4 linked regions of the Lonchura striata genome follow. The protein of the gene in region 3 binds, or shares a complex with, the protein of the main gene of each other region. Links are inferred from orthologs where the notes say so. Each region holds a gene or a part of one and is shown on either strand. Other genes may lie near its edges.

Region 1 (7,454 bases), on a different chromosome or scaffold from region 3:
TTTTGGGAAAAAGGGATTTGTTTAGGGGTAGAAAGATTGGTTTGGGGAAAAAAAAAAGATTCTTATTGGGATAAAGGGGTTCATTTTTGGAGAAAAGGAATTGTTTGGGAAAAGGATTTTTTTGGGATTAAGAAATTGGTTTTGGGAATAAAAAAAGGATTTTTTGTGAATAAGGGACTTTTTGTGGGGAAGAAAGGCCTGGTTTAAGGAAAAAGGGATTTGGTTTGGGAAGAAGGAATTGGATATGGGATATCCAATCCATATCCAATTGGATATGGGATTGGTTATGGGATAACGGGATTTTTTTTTAAAAGGGATTTGTTTTGGGAAATGAAGGATTATTTTTGGGAAGAAGGGATTGGTTTGGGGAAGATGGGATTGGTTTTGGGATAAAGGGTTTGGTTTGGGAAAACTCGAACCCCCATTATCCTGAACCCCCCAGATCCAATCCCACAGGGGGAAAACCCTTGGAAAACATTTCTCCCTGAAACCCCGATCCCAGATTTTGTGAAAAAACAACCCCGTTTTATTGCCCAAAGTACAAAATCCGATTCCCCCGGGAGCTCGGGGGGTTCCCAGCGATCCCAATCCCGCTGGGGGGCCGGGAGCAGCCCGATCCTAACTGGAGACGCTCTGCAGGAGGGTGATGTTGTCCCCCTTCAGCATGATCCGACCTGCAACCAACGGCTCGGGATGGGCCTGTGGGGTGGGAGCGCCCCGATCCCGCCCGGCCCCGCAGCTGGAGCCCAATCCCACAGCTGGATCCCATCCCAATCCCACAGTTGGATCCCAATCCCACAGCTGGATCCCAATCCCACAGCTGGATCCCAATCCCACAGCTGGAGCCCATCCCAATCCCACAGCTGGATCCCAATCCCACAGTTGGATCCCAATCCCACAGCTGGATCCCAATCCCACAGCTGGAGCCCATCCCCACAGCTGGATCCCATCCCAATCCCACAGTTGGATCCCAATCCCACAGCTGGATCCCAATCCCACAGCTGGATCCCAATCCCACAGCTGGATCCCATCCCAATCCCACAGCTGGAGCCCGGCCCCACAGCTGGAGCCCATCCCAATCCCACAGCTGGAGCCCAATCCCACAGCTGGAGCCCAATCCCACAGCTGGATCCCATCCCAATCCCACAGCTGGATCCCAATCCCAAAACCTGGATCCCTGTCCCAAAACCAGGATTTAAGGTCACACATCCAGGTTCCAGGACCCACCCCCGGAGTTTTGGGTCCCAGTCCCGATTTGGGGTCCCAGACCCTGATTTGGGGTTCTCTCCCCCTGCCCTACCCAGCTGCTTCCTGGCCTTGGTTTTGGAGTGAATCTCCTCAGCATCGTCCAGCACCAGGTTCATGTACTCGTCAAAGCCCTGCTGAGCAGCACCGGCCTCAGAAACCCCAAAAGACCCCAAAAACCCATACAAAACCCCCCAAAAAAACCCAAAAACCCACACAAAACCACCCCCCCAAAAAGCCCTCAAATCCCCTCAAAAAACACCCAAAAAAAACCCAACCTCCTCATAAAACTAATAACAAACTCTCAAAACCCCAAAAAACCCCCAAACCCCCCCAAAAAACCCCAAAGCAGAATGGGGCACTCACGATGATGCAGCCCTCAATCCTCATGTTCACCTGCTCATAGAGCCACACCTGGATCCGGGACCGCTGCAGAACGGGAACAGGATTTGGGGTCCAAATGGGATTTGGGGTCAGCAGGGCCCCAAAGGGGTTTGGGGTCCAGGGTTTGTCCCCACCCCAAATCTGTCTGCGGTCACCCCTGTGTGGGGTGGGACTGTCTGGCGTGTGAGGGGTTTGGGGGAATGGGGTTAAACGGGGTTTGGGGGTATGAAATGGGATTTTGGGGTAATAAAATGGGATTTTTGGGTGGGGTTTGGGGTTATAAAATGGGGGTTTTGGGGTATAAAACAGGTTTTTTTGGCATTATAAAATGGGGGTTCTGGGGTATAAGATGGGGATTTTTGGGGTTAAATGGGTTTTATGGGGTTAAAATGGGGAGATTTGAGGTCCCTCCCCCCCAGCCCGCTGCCGGCACTCACGTTCTGCAGGTAGCGGAAGATCAGGTTCTGGGGCCGGGGTTAAGGGCACAGCAGAGCCGGGGGCACGGGGGAAACGCTGAGGGGAACCCCTGAAGGGAACCCGCGGTGGAACCCATAGTGGAACCCGCCATTCCCTTCCCTTCTTCCCTTCCCTTCCTTCCTTCCCTCCATTCCCTTCCCTACTTCCCACCCGTCCCCATCCATCCCTTCCCTTCCCTTCCCTTCCCTTCCCTTCCCTTCCCTTCCCTTCCCTTCCCTTCCCTTCCCTTCCCTTCCCTTCCCTTCCCTTCCCTTCCCTTCCCTTCCCTCCCTCCCCGAGCGCTGCGGGCAGGATACGATGGGCTGCACCATCACCTTCTGCACCTTCTGGCCCTGCCCGCGGTACGCCATGGCTGCGCGGGGCCGCGGCGCTGTGAGGGCCAGGGGAGGCGGGCACGGGCGGTAATGGCGGCCGGAAGCGGGGCCGTGAGGGGCGGGGAAAGCGGGCACGGGCGGTAATGGCGGCCGGAAGCGGCGCCGTGAGGGGCGGGGAAGGCGGGCACGGGCGGTAATGGCGGCCCGAGCGGGGCACTGTGGGACACTGGCGCCGTGAGGGGCGGGCAAGGCGGGCACGGCGGTAATGGCGGCCGGGAAGGGGGCACTGTGGGACACTGGCGCCGTGAGGGGCGGGGAAGGCGGGCACGGGCGGTAATGGCGGCCGGGAAGGGGGCACTGTGGGACACTGGCGCCGTGAGGGGCGGGCAAGGCGGGCACGGGCGGTAATGGCGGCCGGGAAGGGGGCACTGTGGGACACTGGCGCCGTGAGGGGCGGGGAAGGCGGGCACGGGCGGTAATGGCGGCCCGAGCGGGGCACTGTGGGACACTGGCGCCGTGAGGGGCGGGCAAGGCGGGCACGGCGGTAATGGCGGCCGGAAGCGGCGCCGTGAGGGGCGGAGCGCGCAGGGCATTGTGGGATACTGGCGGCGTGAGGCCCTCAGGAGATTTTTACTTTATTTGTTTTTTTTCCCTATCATTATTTTTAGGATTTTTTCTCTCTTTGTAGGATTTTTTTGTGGGTTCTTTTTTTTTCTCTCAGTAGGGTATATTTTTTTTTTTGAGTGTGTTTTTTTAAATTTTTTTTTCTCTTAGTAGTTTTTTTTCGGGGTTTTTTTGCTCTTAGTAGGATTTTTTTCTCTTAATAGGTTTTTGCTTTTTTTCTCGTAGTAGAGTTTTTCTGGGTTTTTTCCTCTTAGGTTTTTTGGGGTTTCTTTTTGTTTATTTTTTGCTCTTAGTAGGGTCCTTTTTTTTTTCTCTTAGCAGGTTTTTTTAATTTTTTTTACGTTTTTTTTCTCTTAGTAGGTTGTTTTTGTGGGTTTTTTTGCTCTTAGTACGATTTTTTTGTTCTTTTTTTAGTAATTTTTGCTCTTAGTAGTTTTTCTTTCTCTTTGTAGATTTTTGGTTTCTTTTAGTAAAGTTTTTTTTTTGTTTTTTTTTTGTTTGTTTTTTTTTCCTCTTAGTAGGTTTTTTGGGGTTTCTTTTTTATTTTTTGCTCTTAGTAGGGTCTTTTATTTTTCTCTTAGTAAGATGGGGTTTTTTTGTTTATTTTTTTTGCTCTTACTAGGTTTTTTTCGGGTTTTTTTTGTGGGTTTTTTTGCTCTTTGTAGGATTTTTTTTTATTCTTTTTTTGGTTATTTTTGCTCTTAGTTTTTTTTTCCTCTTAGTAGGTTTTTTTCTCTTAGTATGTGGGGGGAGTTTTTTGGGTTTTTTTTTAAGGAATGAGATACTCGCTTCGAGGAACACCAAAATCTTCCAAAAAAAAGGAATTTATGGGTTTCTTATCAGAAAAAGCGAATTTCTTGTTTAATTAATCAAAAAATTAATCAAAAAAATCTGCTTTTTATTGTCTTCTAATTGTCCTAACTCTACACTTTATTACTCTAATTGTGTTATTAGTTTTATAACCGATTTATTATTAAAATTTAAAAATTTAAAAACTAAGTGTTGGGCATTTTTCACACTATTATTTAATTTGGTTTGAATAACCACAATTCATCTATAAATAAAACATTTGTTAGCAATGTTCCCCTGGCTTAGAGCTACAGCAGAGCTGCGCCCTTAAATACACAAAATTTTAAAATAAAGTAATTTTTGTGCTCTTACAGTGCTCGAGTTTTCCTGTTCATTTATCCCACAAAGTCACAAAAAAAAAGCAAAAAAAATTCCCTGAAATCTCTCCCATGTTCCTGTGGAAGATCCCAAATTCCCCTTGAGCCTCCTTTTCTCCAGGCTGAGCCCCTTTCATTAATTTTCCAATAAATTTCATTAATTTTTCATTAATTTTTCCATTAATTTCCAATAAATTTCATTATTTTTCCAATAAATTCCATTAATTTTTCCATTAATTTCATTAATTTCCAATAAATTTCATCAGTTTTCCATCAATTTAATCAATTTTACATCAATTTCATTATTTTCCAATAAATTTCATTATTTTCATTAATTTCCAATTAATGTCATTGTTTTCCAATTAATGTCATTAATTTTCCATTAATTTCATTAATTTTCAATTAATTTCATTAATTTCCCAATAAATTTCATTAATTTCAAATAAATTTCATTAATTTCCCAATACATTCCATTAATTTCCTAATAAATTCCATTAATTTTCCAATACATTTCATTAATTTCCCAATAAATTCCATTAATTTACCAATAAATTTCTTTTTTTTCATTAATTTTTCTTTAATTTCATTTTTCATTAATTTCATTAATTTCCAATATATTTCATTAATTTTCCAATAAATTCCATTTATTTTCCAATAAATTTCATTAAATTTCCAATAAATTACATTATTTTTTAATTAATTTCATTATTCTTCATTAATTTCATTATTTTTTCATTAATTTCTAATTAATTTCTAATTAATTCCAGCATTCCCACCAAACTTGTTGGATACCATTCCTTAAATCAAAGCACAAAACTCTGCAAGGACACCACAGTTGAGCAGCCTACCTTTAATCCCTTAAATAGAATCATACAAATATAAAATGGAAGAATAAAATATTTACAGGACCAAAAAAAAAAAAAACCAACTAAAATCAAAATAAACAAAAATGAAAAATAAAAATAAATCCACGGGGATTCCTCTCAATCCCATCTCCAAAATAGGTTGGAAAAGAGGGAAGCAGCCAAGGGGGGAATATTCCAGGTGGTTTTTTTGGGTTTTTTTTTGTTTTTTTTCCCCTCCCACAACGATCCCAGCTGGATGTGGGAGGTTCATTACAGGGAAAAATCCTCAAAATCCAGAGGCACTTGAAGCAATGCTCCTTTTCCCAAATTCCAGGAGGAATTTTGATTTTTCCACCATCCCAAAATTCCAAGAAAAATCCCCCTTGGATCGTTCGGAGCCAGGCTCACCCTGGCAGGGTTTGGTCCAAAATTCCTCCCGGTGTTTTTCCACCCCCGAATTCCCCCCAATTCCGAGTCCACCGTGGATTCCAGAGTTGACACAGTAACTCCAGGGATTTTTTTGGGGTTTTTCTGTCCAGGAGGGAGCTCTGCCATGGGATCTGTGTTGTCCCTCCAGGGAATTCCAAGTGCTCCGTCCCACGTGGGACAAACCCAACCAGGAATTTTGGGATAACTGAGAGCAGACTCTGCCTATTCCCACCAATCCAGCTGGGAAAGCATCTCCTGCACGGATCCAACAGCATTTCCAGCATTTCTTCGGGGTGCCAGGAGGAAATTTTGCTTTTTTAGGGGATTTTTTTTTTTTTGGCGTCGCATCTTTTTCCCCCCCCCCCTTTTTTTTTTTTTCCAATAAAAATCCTTCACTTTCAGCTGTCGATCATCTCGGAGAGTTCCAGCAGGAGATCATCCTCATCCTTGCCTGGATCCAGGTCGATTTCTGCCTCCAGTTTTCCCCCGGAGATTTCCCAGATGAGTTTCTCGAAGTCGTCCTCCACCGAGAGCGCGGCTTTGGCGCCGCCGGCTGAGCTCAGGCGCCGCAGCTTCAGCGGCGCCTCCAGGGATGAGGAGCAGGAGGAGGATCCCGACACCTCTGCCTGGGCCAGGGAATGCCCCTGGCTGCCAGGCTGGGGGCTGGCAGAGCAGGGAGAAGGGAGAAGTCAGCGCAGGAGGGACCCGAGGTGGAGTTTGGGGTTTTACAAAGGGGGTTAGGGAGGGTGGGAGGGGCTGGGATTGGGTTTGGGGGAGCTGGGATTGGGTTTGGGGGAGCTGGGATTGGGTTTGGGGGAGCTGGGATTGGGTTTTTGGGAACTGGGAATGGGTTTGGGGGGGCTGGGATTGGGTTTGGGGCAGCTGGGATTGGGTTTGGGGGAGCTGGGATTGGGTTTGGGGGAGCTGGGATTGGGTTTGGGGGAGCTGGGATTGGGTTTGGGGCAGCTGGGATTGGGTTTGGGGCAGCTGGGATTGGGTTTGGGGGAGCTGGGATTGGGTTTGGGGGAACTGGGATTGGGTTTGGGGCAGCTGGGATTGGGTTTGGGGCAGCTGGGATTGGGTTTGGGGGAGCTGGGATTGGGTTTGGGGGAACTGGGATTGGGTTTTTGGGAACTGGGAATGGGTTTGGGGGGGCTGGGATTGGGTTTGGGGGAGCTGGGATTGGGTTTGGGGGAGCTGGGATTGGGTTTGGGGGAGCTGGGATTGGGTTTGGGGGGGCTAGATCAGATTTGGAGAGTTCAGGATCAGATTGGGGAGTCCTGGATTGGGTTTGGGGGATGGGATTGGGTTTGGGGGGCTAGCAGAGCAGGGAAAAGGAAGTAAGTGCAGGAGGGACCCGAGGTGAAGTTTGGGGTTCTACATGGGGGGTTAGGGGAGGGTGGCAGGGGCTGGGATTGGGTTTGGGGCAGCTGGGATTGAGTTTGGGGGGACTGGGACTGGGTTTGCGGGAGCTAGATCAGATTTGGGGAGTCCAGGATCAGGTTTGGGGAGTCCTGGATCAGGTTTGGGGAGTCCTGGATCAGGTTTGGGGAGTCCTGATTGGGTCTGGGGGGGTCTAGATCAGATTTGGTGAGTTCAGGATCAATTTTGTAAATCCAGGATCAATTCTGGGGAGTCCAGGATTGGTTTTGGGGGATGGGATTAATTTTGGCAGTCCAGGATTGGTTTTGGACATTCCTGGATCAATTCTGGGCATTCCTGGATCAATTTTGGGGATTCCTGATCAATTCTGGGCATTCCTAGCTCAGTTTTGAGGATTCTGGATCAATTTTGGGGATTTTTGGATCGATTTTGGGGAGTGCCCCAGTGCAGCACCTGCAGGAACCCAGAGCTGCAGCTTTAATTGCAATTAACAGCTCCTCTGCAGGATTTTGGGATCATTCCCACCCTGCCCACCCCAGAAGGAATTTGGGGTCGGGGTTACCTGATCTGGGAATTCTCCCTCCGAG
Region 2 (7,208 bases), on a different chromosome or scaffold from region 3:
TATCTCATCCTGATGTCCCCTGGTGCCACCTGGAAGCTGTTTGGCCAGCTCTAGAGGGAGCAGGAGCAGTGAAGAGTTCCCAAGTAAGCTGGGACGTTTTCCTCACACAAATCCATGAGTTTTCCTCAGTTTTCCTTGATTTAGCCCTGTCTGAGGTAGGGAATTCATTAAAAGTGCCATATTGACCCCCAAAGTGCCCTCCAGCTGGGAATATTGACTCCCTGGCTGTCCATCCCTCTGCCCCAACTTTTCCCAAGGCTCTGCCAAGGAATTATTCCTCAGGGTGGGAACTGGGGGAAAATAAGTGGGAAAGAGGGAGAACCACCAACATCCACGGCCGTGTTCAGGTACGAAGTTAATAAAGAATTTAATAACCCAAGTGTGTTTTAAGTAAAAAAACCACCAGAAATAGTATAAATTGAACACCCACTTCCATAAATAAAAGTTGTACCAGGATCGGGAACAGAATTACCGCTGAGCTGCCAAAAACTGGTGCGACAAAGGCTTGATTTGGGTCAACCATTACAAAATTGATTTAATAACACAATCAAAATAATTGTACACTCGTGGGCGGCATTTTGGACGAGGGAACGGAAGCAGTGGGTGAGGACTTGGGGTTTTCCAGGGGTTTATACTCGTTCCAAAGCTTCCAGCATGATGATGCTGTTCCCTCGGATCACCTGGAAGGGGCAAGGTGAGAGCTGTTACCTAAGGGTTCCTTCCTTCCAGTTTGTTTTCCCAAAAATCCCAGAAAATTTGGCTGGAATTTCCTCCTCACAAAAGCCAAAATAGACTGATTTTAACCCGAAATCCTCAAGGATCACAGGATACCAGAATCCTTGAGAGTGGAAAAGACCTCCCAGTGCTCCAGGTGCACTCACCACCCTGCTCCCAGTACTCCCAGTGCTCTCACCACCCTGTCCCAGTGCCCCCAGTGTTCCCTGTGCCCTCACCACCCTATGCCCAGTACGCCCAGTCGCACACACCACCCTCCTCCCAGTACTCCCAGTGCCCTCACCACCCCACTCCCAGTACTCCCAGTGACCTCACCACCCTGTCCCAGTACTCCCAGTGCCTCACCACCCTGCTTCCAGTATTCCCAGTACCCTCACCACCCGACTCCCAGTGCTCCCAGTGCCCTCACTGCCCTGCTCCCAGTACTACCAGTGCCCTCACCACCCCACTCCCAGTACTCCCAGTGCCTCACCACCCTGCTTCCAGTATTCCCAGTACCCTCACCACCCGACTCCCAGTGCTCCCAGTGCCCTCACTGCCCTGCTCCCAGTGCTCCCAGTGCTCTCAGTGCCCTCACCACCCTGTCCCAGTACTCCCAGTGCCTCACCACCCTGCTTCCAGTATTCCCAGTACCCTCACCACCTGACTCCCAATGCTCCCAGTGCCCTCACTGCCCTGCTCCCAGTACTACCAGTACCCTCACCACCCCACTCCCAGTGCTCTCACCACCCCGCTCCCAGTGCTCTCACTCCCAGTGCTCCCAGTGCCTCACCACCATGCCGATGTTGTTCTGCTGCCCGCCCGCCGCCATCTCCACGCACTCGTCGATGACGAGGTTCATGAAGGGGTCGAAGCCGCGCAGGATGCCCTGCACGTGCCGCCCGCCGTTCAGCTTCACTGCGGGGAGCGGGGCCTGAGCGCGGGCACCCCACAACGGGGCCGTGCACCCCCCAAAACCAGCGGGGGGAATGGGAACGACTGAGCACAACCCGTTAATGGGACAGGGGGAACAGAGCGAATTTTCAACCCGTGTTCTAGTTAATTAATGAATTATTAATGAATGAATTAGAATTTTAATTCATGCGCTCTAAGGTCGGAAATCAGCAGCCGGGACCTCTTATCTGGGCTCTGTGAGGGGTGGGCGGGGTCCCCAAAAACCGGGTGGGGGGCTCAGGAGACTCCCACAGCGGGGCCACGAGAGGGAAACGGGGCTGTGGAGGGTCCCCAAAACGGGGCATTGTTGGGGGGTGGGTCCCCAACAGCGGTGGGCGTGAAGGGGATCGGGGGTCCCAGGGCACCGTGAGAGGGATTGGGATGGGGGTCCCTACCTGGGCACCGTGAGGGGATTGGGGCGGGGGTCCTGGGACACCCTGATGGGAATGGGGGCGGGGGTCCCTAAGCACCGTGATGGGGATCGGGGCGGGGGTCTCCGGGCACCGTGACGGGATCGGCATTGGGGTCCCTGCCTGAGCACCGTGAGGGGATCGGGGTGGGGGAGAGTCCCGGGACACCCTGAGCGGGACTGGGGCGGGGGTCCCAGGAACCGTGAGAGGGATCGGGGCGGGATGGGGCCCCCGGGCACCGTGAGGGGGACCAGGACGAGATCCGCTCCAGAACTCACACGACAGCTTCTTGTCCATGAACCTGCAAGGAGACGGCAGCGGGTGAGCGCCGGCGGGTGGCGACGGGGCAGGAGCCCCCCCGCCATTATCCCCACAGCGACCGCGCGTCCCCCGCCGCCGTTGCACCGGAGTACCGGGCAGCAGCGGCCCCCACTTCCCCCCGCCCGGGCCCCGGCTGCCCTCGCCCCGCTCGTCCCCGGCCGCACTTTTTCAGCTCGGGCGGGTGCGCTTTGCTCATGGCGCCCGCAGCCCCCGGCCGTCCCTGCCGCGCTCTGACGTCAGCGCGCCGTGCGTCTCCCCGCGCCGGCCAATGGCGGCCCGCGGCGCGCTCCCGCACTCACCCGAGTAGCGGCGCGGCAGGGGCGAGGCAGCGGGGGGATGCAGGGGTCGGTGAGGGGAGTGCGCGGCTACACGGGGAGGTACGGCGGCATGGCCGCCATGCGGGCGGCGCGGCGGGGCGCGTGCTGGGGGCGTGAGTGCGCATGTGTGTGAGTGTGTGTGTGTGTGCACACGTGTGTGAGCGCACACGTGTGTCGTGTGTGTGTGTCCACATGTGCACACGTGTGTGTGTGTGCCCGTGTGTGAGCATCACCCCCCAATGCCCCCCCTTATCTGCAGAGTTCCCTCAGCACCCAGCCCGTCACCCCCTCACAGCCCCCATTGCTCCCAGTGCCCCCCAGTTCCCCCATCACCCCCAGTGCCCCCATCTCCTGCAGTGTCTCCTCAACATCCACCCCCTCACCCCCAGTTCCTCAGTGCCCCCGTTCCCCACTGCCCAAATCACCCCCAGTCCCCCACATCACCCTGTTCCCCCAGTGCCCCCATACCTCCCATGCCCCCATTACCCTCAGTTTCCCCCATAACCCCCAGTTCCCCCTGTCCCCCCATAACCCGCAGTGCCCCCCAGTCCCCCAATCACCCCCAGTTCCCCCCATCACCCTGTGCCTCAATCACTGCCAATGCCACCCAATCACCCCCAGTTCCCCCATCACCCCCAGTCCCCCAGCACGCCCGCGGTCGGTGGAGCTGCCACCTGGCCTTTAATGAGCGCGGGGTGTCCCGGGGTGTCCCCGGGGTGTCCCCGGGGTGCCCCCGCGGTCACTGCTGGATGCTGGCCAGCCCGTCCCGCATCTTCCTGGCCATGGCGGGCACGAGGCGCAGGTGCTGCTCCCCGCAGGTGGCCAGGCAGGCATCCAGCTGGCCCCGCACACGCGGCTCCGAGCCCCCCGCGTCCAGCGCGTCCTTGGCCTGGTCCGAGCACTGCAGCGAGCAGCGGCTCAGCCGGTCCTGGGGGCAGCAGGGTCAGCGGGGCTGGGGGAGAATGGGGGGACTGGGAGCACATTGGGGGGATCAGGGGAGGGACTGGGGTGGGGTTCATGTCCTGCCTAGGGTCCCAGTGCTGTCCCCAGGGGTCTCAGGGGGTTCCAGTGCTGTCCCCAGGGGTCCCAGTGCTGTCCCAGGGGTCCCAGGCAGGATCCTGATGCTGTCCCAGGGGTCCTGGTGCTGTCCCCAGGGGTTCCAGGGTGGGTCCTGGCGCTGTCTCAGGGGTCCCAGGGGTCCCGGTGCTGTCCCAGAGGGTCCTGGTGCTGTCCCAGAGGTCCCAGGGGTCCCGGTGCTGTCCCAGAGGGTCCCGGTGCTGTCCCAGGGGTCCCAGGGTGGGTCCCGGTGCTGTCCCAGGGGTCCCAGGCGGGGTCCCAGTGCTGTCCCAGGGGTCCCAGGCGGGGTCCCGGTGCTGTCCCAGGGGTCCTGGTGCCTGCGCTCACCTGGAACTGCTCCAGCTCGGCGGTGACGATGGCCTGGGCGCGGGCCAGGGGCGCGTGGCAGCGCTCGATGCAGCGCTGCACCTCCTGCATGGAGGCCGCTGCGTCCTCGCAGCAGCGCGCGCTGCAGCGGAACATGGCGCCCTGGGGACACGGGGCACGAGGGGTTAACGGGGGACACAGGGCACGAGGAATTAATAGGGGACACCCTGGGGACACGGGGCATGAGGGGTTAACGGGGGACACAGGGCACGAGGAGTTAATAGGGGACACCCTGGGGACACGGGGCATGAGGGGTTAACGGGGAAACAGGGGACACAGGGAAAACAGAGGACACTCTGGGGACATGGGGCATGAGGGGTTAATGGGGAAACACGGGACAAGGGGGTACACCCCAGGGGCACCAAGGGTCAGGGGGTTAATGGGGGGCACCCTGGGGACACTCCGGGGACACTCCCAGGTGAGGGGGACACTGGGGACACGGTGGAGAAGGGTGACCCCCAGGGCCATGGAGGGAAGGGGGGGTCACAAGGGGTCAGTGGGGTCAGTCTGGGGGTCCCAGCCCCCTTGGGGGGACCAGCCGGGTGTGCCCTGAGCAGGGGGGGGCACAGGGAATGAACTGGGGGGCACAGAGAATGGAATTTGGGGGGGGGTCTCAGTGGTTTAGGGGGTGTCAGGGTGTGTATGGGAGGGGGTCGCAATGAATTTGGGGGGGTCACAGTGATTTGGGGGATCTCAGGAGGTGTATAGGGAGGTCACAATGAATTTGGGGGGGTTTCAGTGAATTGCGGGGGTGTCAGGGAATTTGAGGGGGAGGTCTCAGTGATTTGAGGGGTGTCAGGGTGTGTATGGGAGGGGGTCACAATTAATTTGGGGGGATTTCAGTGATTTGGGGGAGGTCTCAGGGTGTGTATGGGGGGTCTCAGGGTGTGTATGGGAGGAGGTCACAATGAATTTGGGGGGATCTCAGTGATTTGGGGGGGGTCTCAGCCTGTGTATTGAATTTGGGGGGATTTCAGTGATTTGGGGGGGTCTCAGTGATTTGGGGAGGTCTCAGGGTGTGTATGGGAGGAGGTCACAATGAATTTGGGGGGATTTCAGTGATTTGGGAGGGGGGTCTCAGGGTATGTATTGAATTTGGGGGGATTTCAGTGATTTGGGGGGGAGTCTCAGCCTGTGTATTGAATTTGGGGGGATCTCAGTGATTTGGGGGGGGTCTCAGGGTGTGTAATGAATTTGGGGGGATCTCAGTGATTTGGGGGGGGGGTCTCAGGGTGTGTAATGAATTTGGGGGGATCTCAGTGATTTGGGGGGGATCTCAGGGTGTGTATTGAATTTGGGGGGATCTCAGTGATTTGGGGGGGGTCTCAGGGTGTGTATTGAATTTGGGGGGGGGTCTCAGCCTGTGTATTGAATTTGGGGGGATCTCAGTGGTTTGGGGGGGTCTCAGGGTGTGTAATGAATTTGGGGGGATCTCAGTGATTTGGGGGGGTCTCAGCCTGTGTATTGAATTTGGGGGGATCTCGGTGATTTGGGGGGGGTCTCAGCCTGTGTATTGAATTTGGGGGGATCTCAGTGATTTGGGGGGGGGTCTCAGCCTGTGTATTGAATTTGGGGGGATCTCAGTGGTTTGGGGGGGGTCTCGGGGCCGCTCCCGGCGCTGCCCGGGGCACCCACGTGTGTTGGGGTCGGGGGTACCGCCGCAGCCCCGGGCGGGCGCGGACCCCTCCCGGCGTGTCCCCCGGTGTCCCCCGGTGTCCCCCGGTGTCCCCCGGTGTCCCCCGGTGTCCCGGTACCTGCATGGCGCGGATCTGCTCCCGCTCCAGCCCCTGCACCGCGCTCTCCACCGCGGCCTGCACCCGGCCCTGCGCCGCCTCCGCCATGGCCCCCTGAACCCGCCTTAAACCCGCCCTGGACCCGCCTTAAACCCACCTTAAACCCGCCCTGAACCCGCCTTAAACCCACCTTAAACCCGCCCTGAACCCGCCCTGAACCCGCCTTAAATCCGCCTTAAACCCGCCCTGAACCCGCCCTAAATCCGCCTTAAACCCGCCTTAAACCCGCCCTGAACCCGCCCTAAATCCGCCTTAAACCCGCCCTAAACCCGCCCTGAACCCGCCCTAAATCCGCCTTAAACCCGCCCTAAATCCGCCTTAAACCCGCCCTGAACCCGCCTTAAACCCGCCCTGAACCCGCCTTAAACCCGCCCTGAACCCGCCCTAAACCCGTCCTAAACCCGCCTTAAACCCGCCCTAATCCCACCCTAATCCCGCCCTAAACCTCGCCCCGAACCGCCCTAAACCCGCCCCAAAACTGACGAGAATCGTCCCAAAAACCCGCCCCAAACGTGAGGGAAACCGTCCCAAAAACCCACCCCAAACCTGAGGAAAACTGCCCCAAAATCCGCCCCAAACCTGAGGAGAATCGTCCCAAAATCCGCCCCAAAACCTAAGAGGAACCACCCCAAAACCCACCCCAAAACCCACCCCAAACCTGAGGAGAATCGTTCAAAAACCCGCCCCAAAACTGAGGAAAACCGCCCCAAAACCTGAGGGGAACCGCCCCAAAACCCGCCCCAAACCTGAGGGGAACCGCCCCAAAATCCACCCCAAATCTGGGGGGAACAGCCCCAAAAACCCGCCCCAAAACCGGCCCCAAACCTGAGGAGAATCGTTCAAAAACCCGCCCCAAACAGGAGGGGAACCGCCCCAAAACCTGAGGAAAACCGCCCCAAAATCTGCCCCAAAACTCGCCCCCAAATCCGCCCCAAACCTGAGGGGAACCGCCCCAAAAACCCGCCCCAAAACTGAGGAGAATAGTTCAAAAACCGCCCCAAAACCTGAGGAAAACCGCCCCAAAATCCGCCCCAAATCTGAGGGGATCCGCCCCAAAACCTGAGGGGAACAGCCCCAAAACCCACCCCAAAACCCGTCCCAAAACCCACCCCAAAACTGAAGAGAATCGTTCAAAAACCCACCCCAAACCTGAGGGGAACTGCCCCAAAACTGAAATTGTCCCAAACCTGCCCCAAAACTGCCAGAAATTGTCCCAAAACTGCTGAGAATCGCACCAAAATTGCCAGAAATTGCCC
Region 3 (7,702 bases):
ATGAGATATAATTACGCTAATTATGCTAATGAACCTAATTAACAAACTTATCTTGCCACTAACGACCCCAAAATCCCCAATTCCCACTCAAACCACCCCAAAAAACTCCTTTTTTCCCCCCAAAATTCCATTTTTTTCCCCCAAAACCCCCTCGGGGACGGCGGTTAACGAGGCGCCATGCAGCTAATTATGCTAATTATGCAAATGAGGGGGCTCACGTGGGTTTCTGCTCGGGGTCGCCGGGCCCCTCGTCCTTCTCCAGCAGCATCGTGCGGAACGTGGCCACCTTGGCCTCGATCTCCTCGGCCGAGTAGCTGCAACGGGGAAAAGGGGGACCCGAATTTGGGGAGGGGTCCCGAGGGGGTCTGGGGGGATTTGGGGAAATTTCGGGGGATTTCGGGAAATTTTGGGGGGATTTCGGGAAATTTCAGGGGGATTTTGGGGGGTTTAAAGGAGATTTTAGGGGGGGTTGGGGGTATTGAAAGGGATTTTGGGGGGTTTAAAGGGAGATTTGGGGTGCCAGGGGGGACCCCCGAATTTGGGGAGGGGTCCCGAGGGGGTCTGGGGAAATTTCGGGGGATTTCGGGAAATTTTGGGGGGATTTTGGGGGGTTTAAAGGAGATTTTAGGGGGATTTTGGGGGGTTTGGGGGATTAAAAGGGATTTTGGGGGAATTTAGGGGGGATTTGGGGTGCCAGGGGGGACCCCCGAATTTGGGGAGGGGTCCCGAGGGGGTCTGGGGGGATTTTGGGGAAATTTTAGAGGATTTTGGGAAATTTTGGGGGGATTTTGGGGGGTTTAAAGGAGATTTTAGGGGGATTTTGGGGGGGTTTGGGGGTATTAAAAGGGATTTTGGGGTGTCAGGGGGGACCCCCGAATTTGGGGAGGGGTCCTGAGGGGGTCTGGGGGGATTTGGGGAAATTTCGGAGGATTTTGGGAAATTTTGGGGGGATTTTGGGAAATTTTGGGGGTTTAAAGGAGATTTTAGGGGGATTTTGGGGGGGTTTGGGGGTATTAAAAGGGATTTTGGGGTGCCAGGGGGACCCCCGAATTTGGGGAGGGGTCCTGAGGGGGTCTGGGGGGATTTTGGGGAAATTTCGGGGGATTTTGGGAAATTTCGGGGGTTAAAGGAGATTCTAGGGGGATTCTGGGGTATTAAAAGGGATTTTGGGGGAATTTAGGGGGGATTTGGGGTGTCAGGGGGGACCCCGAATTTGGGGAGGGGTCCTGAGAGGGTCTGGGGGGATTTGGGGAAATTTTGGAGGATTTTGGGAAATTTTGGGGGATTTCGGGAAATTTTGGGGGGATTTTGGGGGGTTTAAAGGAGATTTTAGGGGGATTTTGGGGTATTAAAAGGGATTTTGGGGTTTAAAGGAGGATTTGGGGTGCCAGGGGGGACCCCGAATTTGGGGAGGGGTCCCGAGGGGGTCTGGGGGGATTTTGGGGAAATTTTGGAGGATTTTGGGAAATTTTTGGGGGATTTTGGGGGTTTAAAGGAGATTTTAGGGGGATTTTGGGGGGTTTGGGGGATTAAAAGGGATTTTGGGGGAATTTAGGGGGGATTTGGGGTGTCAGGGGGGGACCCAAATTTGGGGAGGGGTCCCGAGGGGGTCTGGGGGGATTTGGGGAAATTTTGGAGGATTTTGGGAAATTTTGGGGGATTTCGGGAAATTTTGGGGGGTTTAAAGGAGATTTTAGGGGGGTTTGGGGGCATTAAAAGGGATTTTGAGGGGTTTAAAGGGGGATTTGGGGTGTCCGGGGGGGACCCCGAATTTGGGGAGGGGTCCCGAGGGGGTCTGGGGGGATTTGGGGAAATTTTGGGGGGTTTAGGGAAATTTTGGGGGATTTCGGGAAATTTTGGGGGGATTTTGGGGGGTTTAAAGGAGATTTTAGGGGATTTTGGGGGGGTTTGGGGGTATTAAAAGGGATTTTGGGGTGCCAGGGGGGACCCCCGAATTTGGGGAGGGGTCCCGAGGGGGTCTGGGGAAATTTTGGGGGATTTTGGGAAATTTTGGGGGGATTTTGGGGCATTTAAAGGAGATTTTGGGGGGGTTTGGGGGTATTAAAAGGGATTTTGAGGGGTTTAAAGGGGGATTTGGGGTGTCAGGGGGGGACCCCGAATTTGGGGAGGGGTCCCGAGGGGGTCTGGGGGGATTTGGGGAAATTTCGGGGGATTTGGGGAAATTTCGGGGGATTTTGGGAAATTTCAGGGGGATTTTGGGGGGTTTAAAGGAGATTTTAGGGGATTTTGGGGTGTTTGGGGGTATTAAAAGGGATTTTGGGGTGCCAGGGGGGACCCCCGAATTTGGGGAGGGGTCCCGAGGGGGTCTGGGGGGATTTTGGGGAAATTTTGGAGGATTTTGGGAAATTTTCGGGGGATTTTGGGGGGTTTAAAGGAGATTTTAGGGGGATTTTGGGGGGTTTGGGGGATTAAAAGGGATTTTGGGGGAATTTAGGGGGGATTTGGGGTGTCAGGGGGGGACCCAAATTTGGGGAGGGGTCCCGAGGGGGTCTGGGGGGATTTTGGGGAAATTTCGGGAAATTTTGGGAAATTTCGGGGGGAATTTGGGGGGTTTAAAGGAGATTTTAGGGGGATTTTGGGGGGGTTTGGGGGTATTAAAAGGGATTTTGGGGTGCCAGGGGGGACCCCCGAATTTGGGGAGGGGTCCCGAGGGGGTCTGGGGGGATTTTGGGGAAATTTCGGGGGATTTTGGGAAATTTCAGGGCGTGTTTTTGGGGCGCGCGGCGCTCACCCCTGCTCCTCCATCAGCTCGGCCAGCTCCAGGCATTTCAGCTCCACCCTCCGCTTGCGCTGGTGGTCGAGGATGTCGGCGTTGGGTTTCTTGGCCAGGGCGGCCTCCAGGCGCCTCAGCTCCTCCTCGCCGGGGGGGGGGTCCCCGCCCGCCCCCCCTTTCTTGGGCCGCAGGGCCGAGAGGTTGCGCTGGACGTAGCCGTTGGTGCCGCTGCCCCGCGGCGTCGGCAGCCCGATCCCATTGTACATCCCAGCGCTGGGAACGCGGGAGTCAGGGCCCCCCACATCCCCCAGATCCCCCAAATCCCTGTGTCCAAAATCCCCAAAATCCCTGTGTCCAAAATCCCCAAAATCCCTGTGCCCCAAATCCCCAAAATCCCCCCGTTCCTACAGCCCGATCCCATTGTACATCCCAGCGCTGGGAACGCGGGAGTCAGGGCCCCCCACATCCCCCAGATCCCCCAAACCCTGTGTTCAAAATCCCCAAAATTCCTGTGTTCAAAATCCCCAAAATCCCTGTGTTCAAAATCCCCAAAATCCCTGTGCCCCAAATCCCCAAAATCCCTGTGTCCAAAATCCCCAAAATCCCCCCGTTCTTATAGACCCAAATCCCCCAAATCCCCAAGTTCCTACAGACCCAAATCCCCCAAATCCCTGTGCCCCAAATCCCCAAAATCCCTGTGCCCCAAATCCCCAAATCCCTGTGCCTCAAATCCCCAAAATCCCCCAGTTCCTATAGACCCAAATCCCCAAAATCCCTGTGTCCAAAATCCCCAAAATCCCTGTGCCCAAAATCCCCAAGTTCCTATAGACCCAAATCCCCAAAATCCCTGTGCCTCAAATCCCCAAAATCCCTGTGCCCCAAATCCCCCCGTTCCTATAGACCCAAATCCCAAAAATCCCTGTGCCCCAAATCCCCAAAATCCCTGTGCCCCAAATCCCCCCGTTCCTATAGACCCAAATCCCAAAAATCCCTGTGCCCCAAATCCCCAAAATCCCTGTGCCCCAAATCCCCCAAATCCCTGTGCCTCAAATCCCCAAAATCCCCCAGTTCCTATAGACCCAAATCCCCAAAATCCCTGTGTCCCAAATCCCAAAATCCCCAAGTTCCTATAGACCCAAATCCCAAAAATCCCTGTGTCCCAAACCCCCAAAATCCCCAAGTTCCTATAGACCCAAATCCCAAAAATCCCTGTGCCCCAAATCCCCAAAATCCCTGTGCCCCAAACCCCCAAAATCCCCCCGTTCCTATAGACCCAAATCCCCAAAATCCCCGTTCCTATAGACCCAAATTCCCAAAATCCCTTTGTCCCAAACCCCCAAAATCCCCAAGTTCCTAAAACCCCAAATCTCCAAAATCCCCCAAATCCTACATCCCCAAAATCCCCTGAATCCCCCAAATCCTACATCCCCAAAATCCCCAAATCCTACAGCCCCAAATCCCCCATTCCTGCATCCCCAAATTCCCCAAATCCCCCATTCCTACAGTCCCAAATCCCCCAAATTCCCCAAATTCCCCCTGCCCCAAATCCCCCCTCACTGACCCCAAAACTTCCCTCCCACCCTAAAAAAACCCTTTTATAACCCAAAATCCCCACTTTTCTCCCCAAAATCCCCATTTTACTACAGGAATTCCCACTTTTTAACCCAAAAGTCCCCATCTTCTCCTCAAAATTCCCATTTTCCTACAGGAATTCTCACTTTTTAACCCAAAATTCCCATTTTTCTTCCCAAAATCCCCATTTTCCTACAAGATTCCCACTTTTAATCCAAAATCCAATTTTTCTCCCAAAATTCCCATTTCCCTACATGAATTCCCATTTTTAACCCAATATCCCCACTTTTCTCCCCGAAATTGCCATTTTCCCGCATGAATTCTCACTTTTAAACCCAAAATCCTATTTTTCTCCCCAAAATTCTGTTTTCCTACATGAATTCCCATTTTAAACCCAAAATCCCCATTTTCCTTCACAAACTCCCTAAACTTCTCTGGAAATTCCCTAAAATCTCATTTTCCTTCCCAAAATCACTTTTTTTCCAACTCCAATAATCCATTTCCCCCCAAAATCACTTTTTTTTTCCGCTCAAAATCCACTTTTCCTTCCCAAAACAACTTTTTTTTCACTCAAAATCCTTTTTTCTCCTCACAGCGCCCTAAAATAAATAACTTTTTCCCTAAAATGAGAATTTTTGACCCTTTCCTCTCAAGGCTCCTTCAAATTTCATTTTTCCCCCCCTCACACTTTTAAAAAAACTCCATTTTTCTCTCAAAATCCCACTTTTCTCCCTCACAACTTCCCTAAAAAATGGTTTTTTCTCCCCAAAATCCCCTCAGAACTGCCCCAAACCCCAAATTTCCCCTCACAATTTCCACAAAAACGTTTTTTCCCCCCACAAAAATTAAATTTTTCCTACTTACGACCACTTCCACTCCCCAAACTCCTCAGAATTCCCCTAAAATTCCTCTTTTTTTTAACAAAACACCAAAAAAAATCCATTTTCTCCTCACAACTCTCCGCCAAAATTCACTTTTCCCCTCAAAATTCCAATAAAATTACTTTTTTACAAAACACCCCGAAAAAACTTAATTTTCGCCTCAGAATTTTCTCAAAATTCACTTTTTCCCTCACAATTCCCCTAAACATTACTTTTTTCCCCTCAAATCTCCACAAAAATCCACTTTTTTACCTTTGTCTTTCCCCCAAATCCTTTTCCTCCCTCACAACTCCAAAATCTTCATTCTTCTCCTCAAAATTCCCCAATTTCCCCCGAAATCTCACTTTTCTTCCTCAAAATCGCTTTTTTACCTCATAAATTTAAATTAAATTTTAAAGTTTCACCTCATAAAATGAATTCTGATTAAATTTTACTTCACAAACTTTAAAAATCTCCATTTTTCCCCTCCCAACACCCCAAAATTCTGTTTTTCCCCCAAAACGACAATTTGTCCCCTCAGAATCCTCCAAACTCCAATTTTTACTTTAAAACCCCAAAAAATTTCAACTTTTACTCCTCAGCTCTCCTAAAAACCCTAAACTCCCTCAAACTTCATTTTTCCCCTCAAAAACTTTTTAAAAATCGGTTTTTTCCCACTAAAAACACTTTCCCCCAAAAAACTCCAATTTTTCCCCTCACAAACCCTGAAACTCCTAAAAAAATCAGTTTTATCCTCAAAAACTCCCCAAAACCCCACACCTCAAAAAAAAAAAATCCATTTTCCACCAAAAATTCATTTTTTTCTCATATTCCCATTTTCCTGCAGAAATACCCCAAAATTCCCATTTTCCCCTCTATTTTACCCCAAATTTCCCCACACTTACCAAAAAATCCTTTTTTTCATCCAAAATCGCCTTCTTTCCGCTCGAATCCGCTTTTCCCTCCTCAAACCCTCATTTTTTACCCCAAAATCCCAATTTTCCCCTCAAAATCCCATTTTTTTCCCCCAAATTCCGCTTTTCCCCTCACAAACCTCCCAAAAACCACCATTTTCCCTTCAAAAATCCCCCAAAAATCAACATTTTCCCCTCAAAAATTCCCTTTTCCCCCTCAAAACTCCCCGAAATCCAACCTTCCCCTCACGAACCCCTAAAATCTTATTTTTAACCCCAAATCCCGTTTTTTCCCCTCATGACCTTAAAAAATCTCTTTTCACCCCCAAAATTCCATTTTTTCTTCCCTCACCTCAATTTTTTTCCCTTTTTGCCCAAAATCCCATTTTTTATACCCCAAACCCAAAATTTCCCCTATTTTTCACCCTGAATTTCCCCATTTTTACCTAAAAAATCCCAATTTTTCCTCCCTCACCTCAAATTTTCCCCATTTTTCACCCAAAATCCCATTTTTTCCTCCTTCACCCCAAATTTTTCCCCTTTTTTATCCAATATCCCATTTTCCTTCCCTCACCCCAAATTTCCCCTTTTTTCACCCAAAATCCCATTTTTTCCCCCTCTAAAATCCCATTTTCCGCCTTTTTCCCCCTCAAAAAATCCCAATTTCCCCCAAGACTTTCTTTTTAACCAAAACCTCCCCTTTTTCACCCAAACCTTTTTCACCAAAACTTTTCTTTTTCCCCTCACACTTCCCTTTTTAAACTTTCGCTTTCCCCTCACGACTCATTTTTAATTGTTTTTAATCCCTTTTTTCTCCCAAATCTCCACTTTTCCCCCAAACCCCATTTCCCCATCCCGAGCTCCCCCTTTGCCCAAAATTTGTTTTATTTTCCCCAAATTCCCATTTTTTCCTCCCTCACCCCAAAACTTCCCAATTTTTCACCCAAAACTTCCTCATTTTTTACCCAAATTCCCATTTTTACCTCCCTTGCCTCAAAATTTCATATTTTTTACCCAAAATCCCATTTTTACCTCCCTTGCCTCAAAATTTCCCACTTTTTACCCAAATTCCCATTTTTCCTCCCTTGCCTCAAAATTTCCCCATTTTCACCCCAAATTTTCCCCCTTTTTCACCCCAAATTCCATTTCCATTTCTCCCCTAGATTTCCCCATTTTCCCCTTAAATTCCCCATTTTTCACCCCAAATTCCCATTTTTTCCTCCCTCACCCAAAATTTCCCAATTTTTCACCCAAAACTTCCTCATTTTTTACCCAAAATCCCCAGTTTAAGTCACTCACCTCAAAATTTCCCTATTTTCTACCCAAAATCCCATTTTTACCTCCCCTGCCTCAAATTTCCCACTTTTTACCCAAATTCCCATTTTTTCCCTCCCCCACCTCAGAATTTCCCCATTTTCCCCCTAAATTTCCCCATTTTTACCTCAAATTTCCCCATTTTCCCCCTAAATTTCCCCATTTTTACCTCAAATTTCCCCATTTTTTACCTCAAATTTCCCCCTTTTTCACCCCAAATTCCCATTTTTTCCTCCCTCACCCAGAATTTCCCAATTTTTCACCCAAAACTTCCTCATTTTTTACCCAAAATCCCAGTTTTAGTCACT
Region 4 (5,908 bases), on a different chromosome or scaffold from region 3:
CAAATTAATTTCTTTTAATTTAAATTTGTGTACATTTCTAATATTCAAAACATTGGCCTACTTAAAGATGTACCTTTCATCACTGCTACTTTTCTATACCTTATTGAACACAATTAAGAACTGTATTAGCTGTAGCACTTTATCTGGAGTGAATGAAGAAAAGAAATGCAAAGAAAATGGGCAGAATACAATTGCTTCTTGGAGAGTTCTGTAGTATTTCTTCCCCAGTTTTGTTGTGTTTATTCTTATTACTTCGATTTCCAAATGCATGACAAACCTTTCGCATTACAAAAACATATATGGACAGAATTTAAATTCACCTGGCAGACTATTACTGGCGCTGTTTTTAGCCTGAATAGGTAACTAATCACATCACTGGACAGGCTTTTATTTTCTATGTTATAGCTTTGGAATAAAGAACTTCCCCTAAGCAGAAAGTGAGAGCTGCCTCTACCAGGCCTCTGCTGTGCTCCATCTCCCTCCACACCACATTCATCAGATCACCACATTATTTCAGTGTCTCATCTGTAAGCACTGTGCTAGTGATCCCTACTGCCTTTCTGCTTTTAGGGTGCTCCTGTGCCTGGCTAGGAAGTTCTCAGTGGCACCTAAATTAAGCTAATTCAATTGTCCTGTGCACCTAAGGCACACAGCTGTTATTCAGCCCCATACAGGAGGTGTAGAGCATCACAGTGGTACTCAGAAGGAACTGATGGAGTGTGAAGCTCCAAGGCCCAGTCTCTGTGATCCTTAAGCTGCTCCTAGGTAAGACACTGTTAGTGCAGGTCATAGATCTCCTCAGTATGACAATTCTTCAGGAGTGAATTTCTCCAGATTCAGTCTGATTCAAGATAATGTGATTATCTTTACATTAATACAGAGCAGCATAAAGTGTATCCCTTAGTGGTAGGACACACAGTATTTCTTCTTTCCTGATTTTTTTTACTCCACATTCTTCCAATCTATAGCTTTGGCAGAGAATCAGCCATACAACCCTAAAACAGCTTTGAGATTTTGGAATATTTATACTCTATAAATGAAAGCAAGAACAAAGCAAAACATAGTTTTAAAGTGAAAGAAAGTTTGAAACTTAACCATGCTTGCAAGGACTGTGTTTCCTCTGTCCCAGAAGCAGCCCAAAGGCTGCTATGAGATGGCAGCAAAATCATGATTCTGACTACAAGGAAAAGAAAGAAATCAGGGGAGTTTACATCAAACAAGGTGGAAGAAGAGGCTTGATTGTGAAAAATGTTTTTCACAGGATCTTTGAGAAAAGCAGCAAAATTGTCTTCCACCTCTTAAAGGGCCAAAATAAGGGCTTTCTGAGGCTGATAATGTTCATAGGCTATAATAACATTTGAGAAACTATATCACAGTTCATGTGATAGAATCAGAAATCTGAAAAAAAAACCCCAAATATGCAATTAGAAAAACATAGCTTTTCCAGCCTAAAACTGCTAAGTGGCCTCTGCAAATAATGATCTAAGAACCCTGTTTTAGCAGAAGCAAATATTTTTAATGAAATATATACTTTTAAAAAATCACATGCCACATACACAATGGGTTCTTATCATTATTGAAATTCCAGCACCATTCTTTCTAGGCTAATGCAATCTCAATTTTTTTTTCATCACTGTATTTGTAGGATAAATCAATATAGTGAAGAATAGAGGAATTTCTGGGAGAAAAAAAAAGGCATACCTCCCCATTTTATCATCTTTCTGGATGTGTATTGGTTTTATCTATTAGGATCGTCACATCCCCTTGTTTGCAGGGTATTTATGTCTCCACACTTCCACCCAAAGAGTCCGTAGGGAATTCAAAAATTTGGTTGTATCTTGTACTGGGCAGCCACTGACAATGTCTTTCTTGGTCCAGCAGCCCCCTCTACCCTTTTTACTCTACATTTCGGAGGTGCAACCAATCACTCCGTTTTATGGAAGAAGAATTTTGACAAGTCCAACTCTGACACCCAGTGGCCTCTACTGTTCCAGCTCTTACAGCCTCCCAGGGTCTCAATCTATTGAAACCTGGCTTGAAGGGATACGGTGTTACTCTCCAAACAGATAATTTCAGCACTAAAATCAGCACATTTATGTGATTTCCATAAGTAAGCATCCATTATTGTATATTCTGATAATGATATTTAATGGTATTCAGTACAAAACCCTCAACATATCTGAAAATGCTGCTTTTTCAGGAATCCTAGTCATACAAGCGTATTACCACTGAGGAATAATCCTCTCCCTATATATATGCATCTCCTTTCCCCCACTCATTTATATTCCTAAACTTGAAATGAAAGTGCCCTAGCATAGGCATTCATTTTGTACAAAATGGACCAAACAAGAAAAAGAAGGCCCTACAATAGATTTTATTTTTATAAAGAATAAGAAATGAAGAGAAAGAGAATATAATTGAATATAATTCTTGAAAGATAGCAGATGGAACTTTTTCTTTTTAGATTAAAATTGAAGTTAAGTAGTTACTTGTAGATAATTGTGGTTTGCCTGTCAGCTGGAAATTTTACTACCTGTTTTTTCTTCCTTAAATTGGTAAGCTCGTCTGGCAGTCTCAGAAGTTCTTGACCAAAGCCAATATAGAGTGAAGTTTTGGTGTGCTTTCCCAGAGTTCTGGATGCCTGAATGCAGCATTTTAATCTGGCCCAGTAACAAACTTGCTGAAAATTTCAGATTCACACTTCTCAGTCAAGTTTGGTGGTTTTTTTTGTTTTTTTTTTTTTTTGTGTTTTTTTTTTTTTTTTTTTTTTGTTTTTGGTTGGTTGGGTTTTTATTGTTGTTGTTTCATTGCTTTGGTTGGCTGGGGATTTGTTGTGGTTTATTTTGGTTTTGGTTTTCATTTGTTTTTGTTTTTCTTTCATGAGAACTATTACACCTGTTTAATTTAATGCAGTTATTACTCCTAGAAACTGCAACATCGACAAGAGATAGATAAGCTTCTGGGAATTTTTCTTCTCCAAAGGCTATTTTAATCAATACATCTCCTGGTTTATAGTTTCCAAGAGGATAACTTCCAAACAGCTGTGAGGGCAGCCCCGTGTGTCACTGTGTTGGCATGGAACATCTATTAAAAGCTAGCATTCTTCTTGCTATCCCACTTTTTAAAAAAACATCATTTAAAAAAGAAATGAAAGCTCTTCCTTGTTGAGAATATGTCCTTTTTTGTCTTTCTGCAAGCCAGCATACATAGAAACTCCTAAAGTGTTGTGTTTGTTTCTTTTTCCTCTCCTGGTCTCTCTGAAAGCAACCACAGAATGCAACTGCTATATCCAGCTGTGCAATCTGCTTCCAGCTAAGTAAGCCTTGGTAGCAATGACTCAACAGATCCTCATAAAAATAACAAAAAAAAAAAAATTATAGTCCTCACTTAGCTCTTTGCACAGAATTGTAAGGACACTTCAGAACGTTGTTTTTACATTGCCTTATATGGCCCTGGTTTTATAAGACACTCACTTTTAAACAAGGGGCATAGAATCATCTGTGTTTTCACATAATATTTCTGTGGATTTCTTTTTGACTACAGGGCATTTACAAGAACAGGAAGAAATAGCTCAGTCCTATTGAAAAATTTTTGGCAATGTGTCTTTCCTATTTTAAAACAAATAATTAAAAACATTACTAGCATATGAAAGCATGAATAATTTCACACATTTTAAACTTAACATTATGTAAACTCTCGAACAGAGGTGGAAAAAACTATTTTGATGGATGATAATATTTATTTCAAGCTTGAGTTTGACCAAAAGAAGATAGGCAACACAAGTTATATTTTCTGTGGGTTTTATATCTGCTTGTGAGTTTAACATTCAGATAAAATACTAGCCACACTGTAAAAAATATTTTTCAACATTAGTATTTAATTTTGACTTAAATCACCTGACTCTGCTCAGCCCATCTGGGGAAGATAAACTCAGCTCTTCAACTTACAAAGGAACAGGGATGGGACATACAGAACTTTCCTCAGCTGTATGTAGCAGAAGTAACCTCACCAAACTTCTTATTTTGGGAGGACCTGCAAATACTGTGCCCTCCTCAGCCCTTCTCTATGTGGACTTGGGTGAGAGTGACCATAGCAAGTGGTGCATTGCCCTCTCACCAAGCTAAGGGCTAACGAAAAGGGGTGTTGGGCTGCTCTTGGCACCTCCTGGGTTGTTTGGTGGTAGCTTTTTCTTTCTCCATGTCGCTTCTTTGGGAAGCAGCCCTGAGCCGCGGTTCATACAGAGGCAGCGTCGGGATGGGATGAAGCTGTGCCCCGAAGCGTGAGCCCCGGGCTCTGCTTTCCTGTTTCTGACACCTGCTGCCAGGAGAGACTTTTCGATGCTGTTCCCGTGTTCCACGACGTGGGTATTTCGTAGCCAGATTTGACAGTGCAGGTCCCTTGGATTCCAGGTGAATGGATCACTATCAAAGCCGTATCTTTGCTTTGCAAACTGACGGGAGGCTCCAGGCTTTGCATCGAGGCTCAGCTGAGCATCTGCCTCAGTCTGAGGCGCCTGAACCCTCACGTACGTGCTTTAGAATAACCCTGCGTTACAGATGGCGGCTCAGCCTTCTAACTACATTTGCCTTACTATGGATTAGCCAAGTGGCGCGATCCGACCGACAGTACGCTATTTTCACTACGACATCAATATTAACTTACGCCGAGGCCCGCCCCCCAGGAGACTACAGCTCCCGGCAGGCTCTTCCCGGCGCGCTCCCTTCGGGCACTGCGGCAGGAACCGCGGCGGGAAGCGCTGCCGCGCCCGCCGGAAAGCGTCCCGGCCCCCAGAGCAATCCCGCTGTACAGGCCCGTTCGTGCCGCCCAGACCCGGCCCCGCCGCCCAGGCCGGTCCCCGCCGCCCGCCATCCCGCCGCCCGCCGTCCCGCCGCCCGCCGTCCCGCGCTCCGCCGTCCCGCGCTCCGCCATCCCGCCGCCCGCCGTCCCGCGCTCCGCCGTCCCGCGCTCCGGCCGCCCGCCCGCCGCGCCATGACGGACCGCTACACCATCCACAGCCAGCTGGAGCACCTGCAGTCCAAGTACATCGGCACGGGGCACGCCGACACCACCAAGTGGGAGTGGCTGGTGAACCAGCACCGCGACTCGTACTGCTCCTACATGGGCCACTTCGACCTGCTCAACTACTTCGCCATCGCCGAGAACGAGAGCAAGGCGCGCGTCCGCTTCAACCTGATGGAGAAGATGCTGCAGCCCTGCGGGCCGCCCGCCGACAAGCCCGACGAGTCCTGACCCTCCGTCCTCCTGGTCCCGGCCCTCTCCCGTTGTGGTTCCCGAAGGACTGACCGGGAAGAAGCCTCGCAAAATGCCTGCCTCGGGACTCTTGACTGCTCGCCTTTTTTCAAGTGGAATATAATAAAGCTTCGTGGGCATTCCTAATGTTTGGTTTGGTAGTTTCCTTGTACGAGCTTTTTGTTCCCGCGGGAGCGCTGGTGCTCGGTATTGGGCATTTCAGCGCAACCATCCGAGGTGAAAGCATCGGATACTCCTAGACAGCATTTCTCCCACCGGGCGGATCGATGCTTCCTTACAAAACTCAGTTTTGGGGGGAGAGAGGGGAACTTTGTTGGTACTCAAAGGGTTTGATGTCTTGGTAGCAGTATTATATGGAGTGGTTTTTGGTGTAGCATAAGCCAGTTCCTCTAGTACTTAAAAATTCCAAAATGGCTTTTCTTTAAACAATTTTCTTGCCTCATTTTCCTTTTTCCTGTACCTCTGAATTTTTCAAACCTTGATTCTTTCTGATACACATTAGCTATTTTTTCCCTTTATGCTTTCTAGTAACCTAGCATTCAAGTTTTTCCTACCTTACATCAAATAAAGATACTAGTATTGGGTTGGGCTCTGTTAATATGGAATACGAATATAATGGTTACTCACTACTGCTTCA

What was found.
Region 1: uncharacterized protein LOC110483994 (region 3) and SNRPE share a complex: the UniProt entries of both Homo sapiens proteins name them as parts of the minor spliceosome. The link is inferred for Lonchura striata from reciprocal best matches to the Homo sapiens genes SRRM2 and SNRPE.
Region 2: uncharacterized protein LOC110483994 (region 3) and SNRPG share a complex: the UniProt entries of both Homo sapiens proteins name them as parts of the minor spliceosome. The link is inferred for Lonchura striata from reciprocal best matches to the Homo sapiens genes SRRM2 and SNRPG.
Region 4: uncharacterized protein LOC110483994 (region 3) and SF3B5 share a complex: the UniProt entries of both Homo sapiens proteins name them as parts of the minor spliceosome. The link is inferred for Lonchura striata from reciprocal best matches to the Homo sapiens genes SRRM2 and SF3B5.

Annotation. Positions count from the first base shown.
Region 1 is NC_134632.1:2,737,541-2,744,994, forward strand, and holds SNRPE (small nuclear ribonucleoprotein E), read right to left. Parts: upstream 2,528-7,454; 5' UTR 2,457-2,527; coding exon 2,403-2,456; intron 2,094-2,402; coding exon 2,067-2,093; intron 1,675-2,066; coding exon 1,612-1,674; intron 1,380-1,611; coding exon 1,301-1,379; intron 675-1,300; coding exon 619-674; 3' UTR 504-618; downstream 1-503. Other genes in the region: ZC3H11A (zinc finger CCCH domain-containing protein 11A), read right to left, coding at 5,883-6,147, 7,430-7,454. UniProt on the Homo sapiens protein: Plays a role in pre-mRNA splicing as a core component of the spliceosomal U1, U2, U4 and U5 small nuclear ribonucleoproteins (snRNPs), the building blocks of the spliceosome.
Region 2 is NC_134634.1:399,414-406,621, forward strand, and holds SNRPG (small nuclear ribonucleoprotein G), read right to left. Parts: upstream 2,634-7,208; 5' UTR 2,596-2,633; coding exon 2,564-2,595; intron 2,380-2,563; coding exon 2,357-2,379; intron 1,633-2,356; coding exon 1,508-1,632; intron 681-1,507; coding exon 630-680; 3' UTR 510-629; downstream 1-509. Other genes in the region: protein FAM136A, read right to left, coding at 3,456-3,644, 4,121-4,261, 5,914-6,000. UniProt on the Homo sapiens protein: Plays a role in pre-mRNA splicing as a core component of the spliceosomal U1, U2, U4 and U5 small nuclear ribonucleoproteins (snRNPs), the building blocks of the spliceosome.
Region 3 is NC_134637.1:300,130-307,831, reverse strand, and holds the start of uncharacterized protein LOC110483994, read right to left. Parts: upstream 3,005-7,702; 5' UTR 3,001-3,004; coding exon 2,753-3,000; intron 315-2,752; coding exon 219-314; intron 1-218. UniProt on the Homo sapiens protein: Required for pre-mRNA splicing as component of the spliceosome. As a component of the minor spliceosome, involved in the splicing of U12-type introns in pre-mRNAs.
Region 4 is NC_134605.1:50,067,390-50,073,297, forward strand, and holds SF3B5 (splicing factor 3B subunit 5), read left to right. Parts: upstream 1-4,911; 5' UTR 4,912-4,989; coding exon 4,990-5,250; 3' UTR 5,251-5,397; downstream 5,398-5,908. UniProt on the Homo sapiens protein: Component of the 17S U2 SnRNP complex of the spliceosome, a large ribonucleoprotein complex that removes introns from transcribed pre-mRNAs.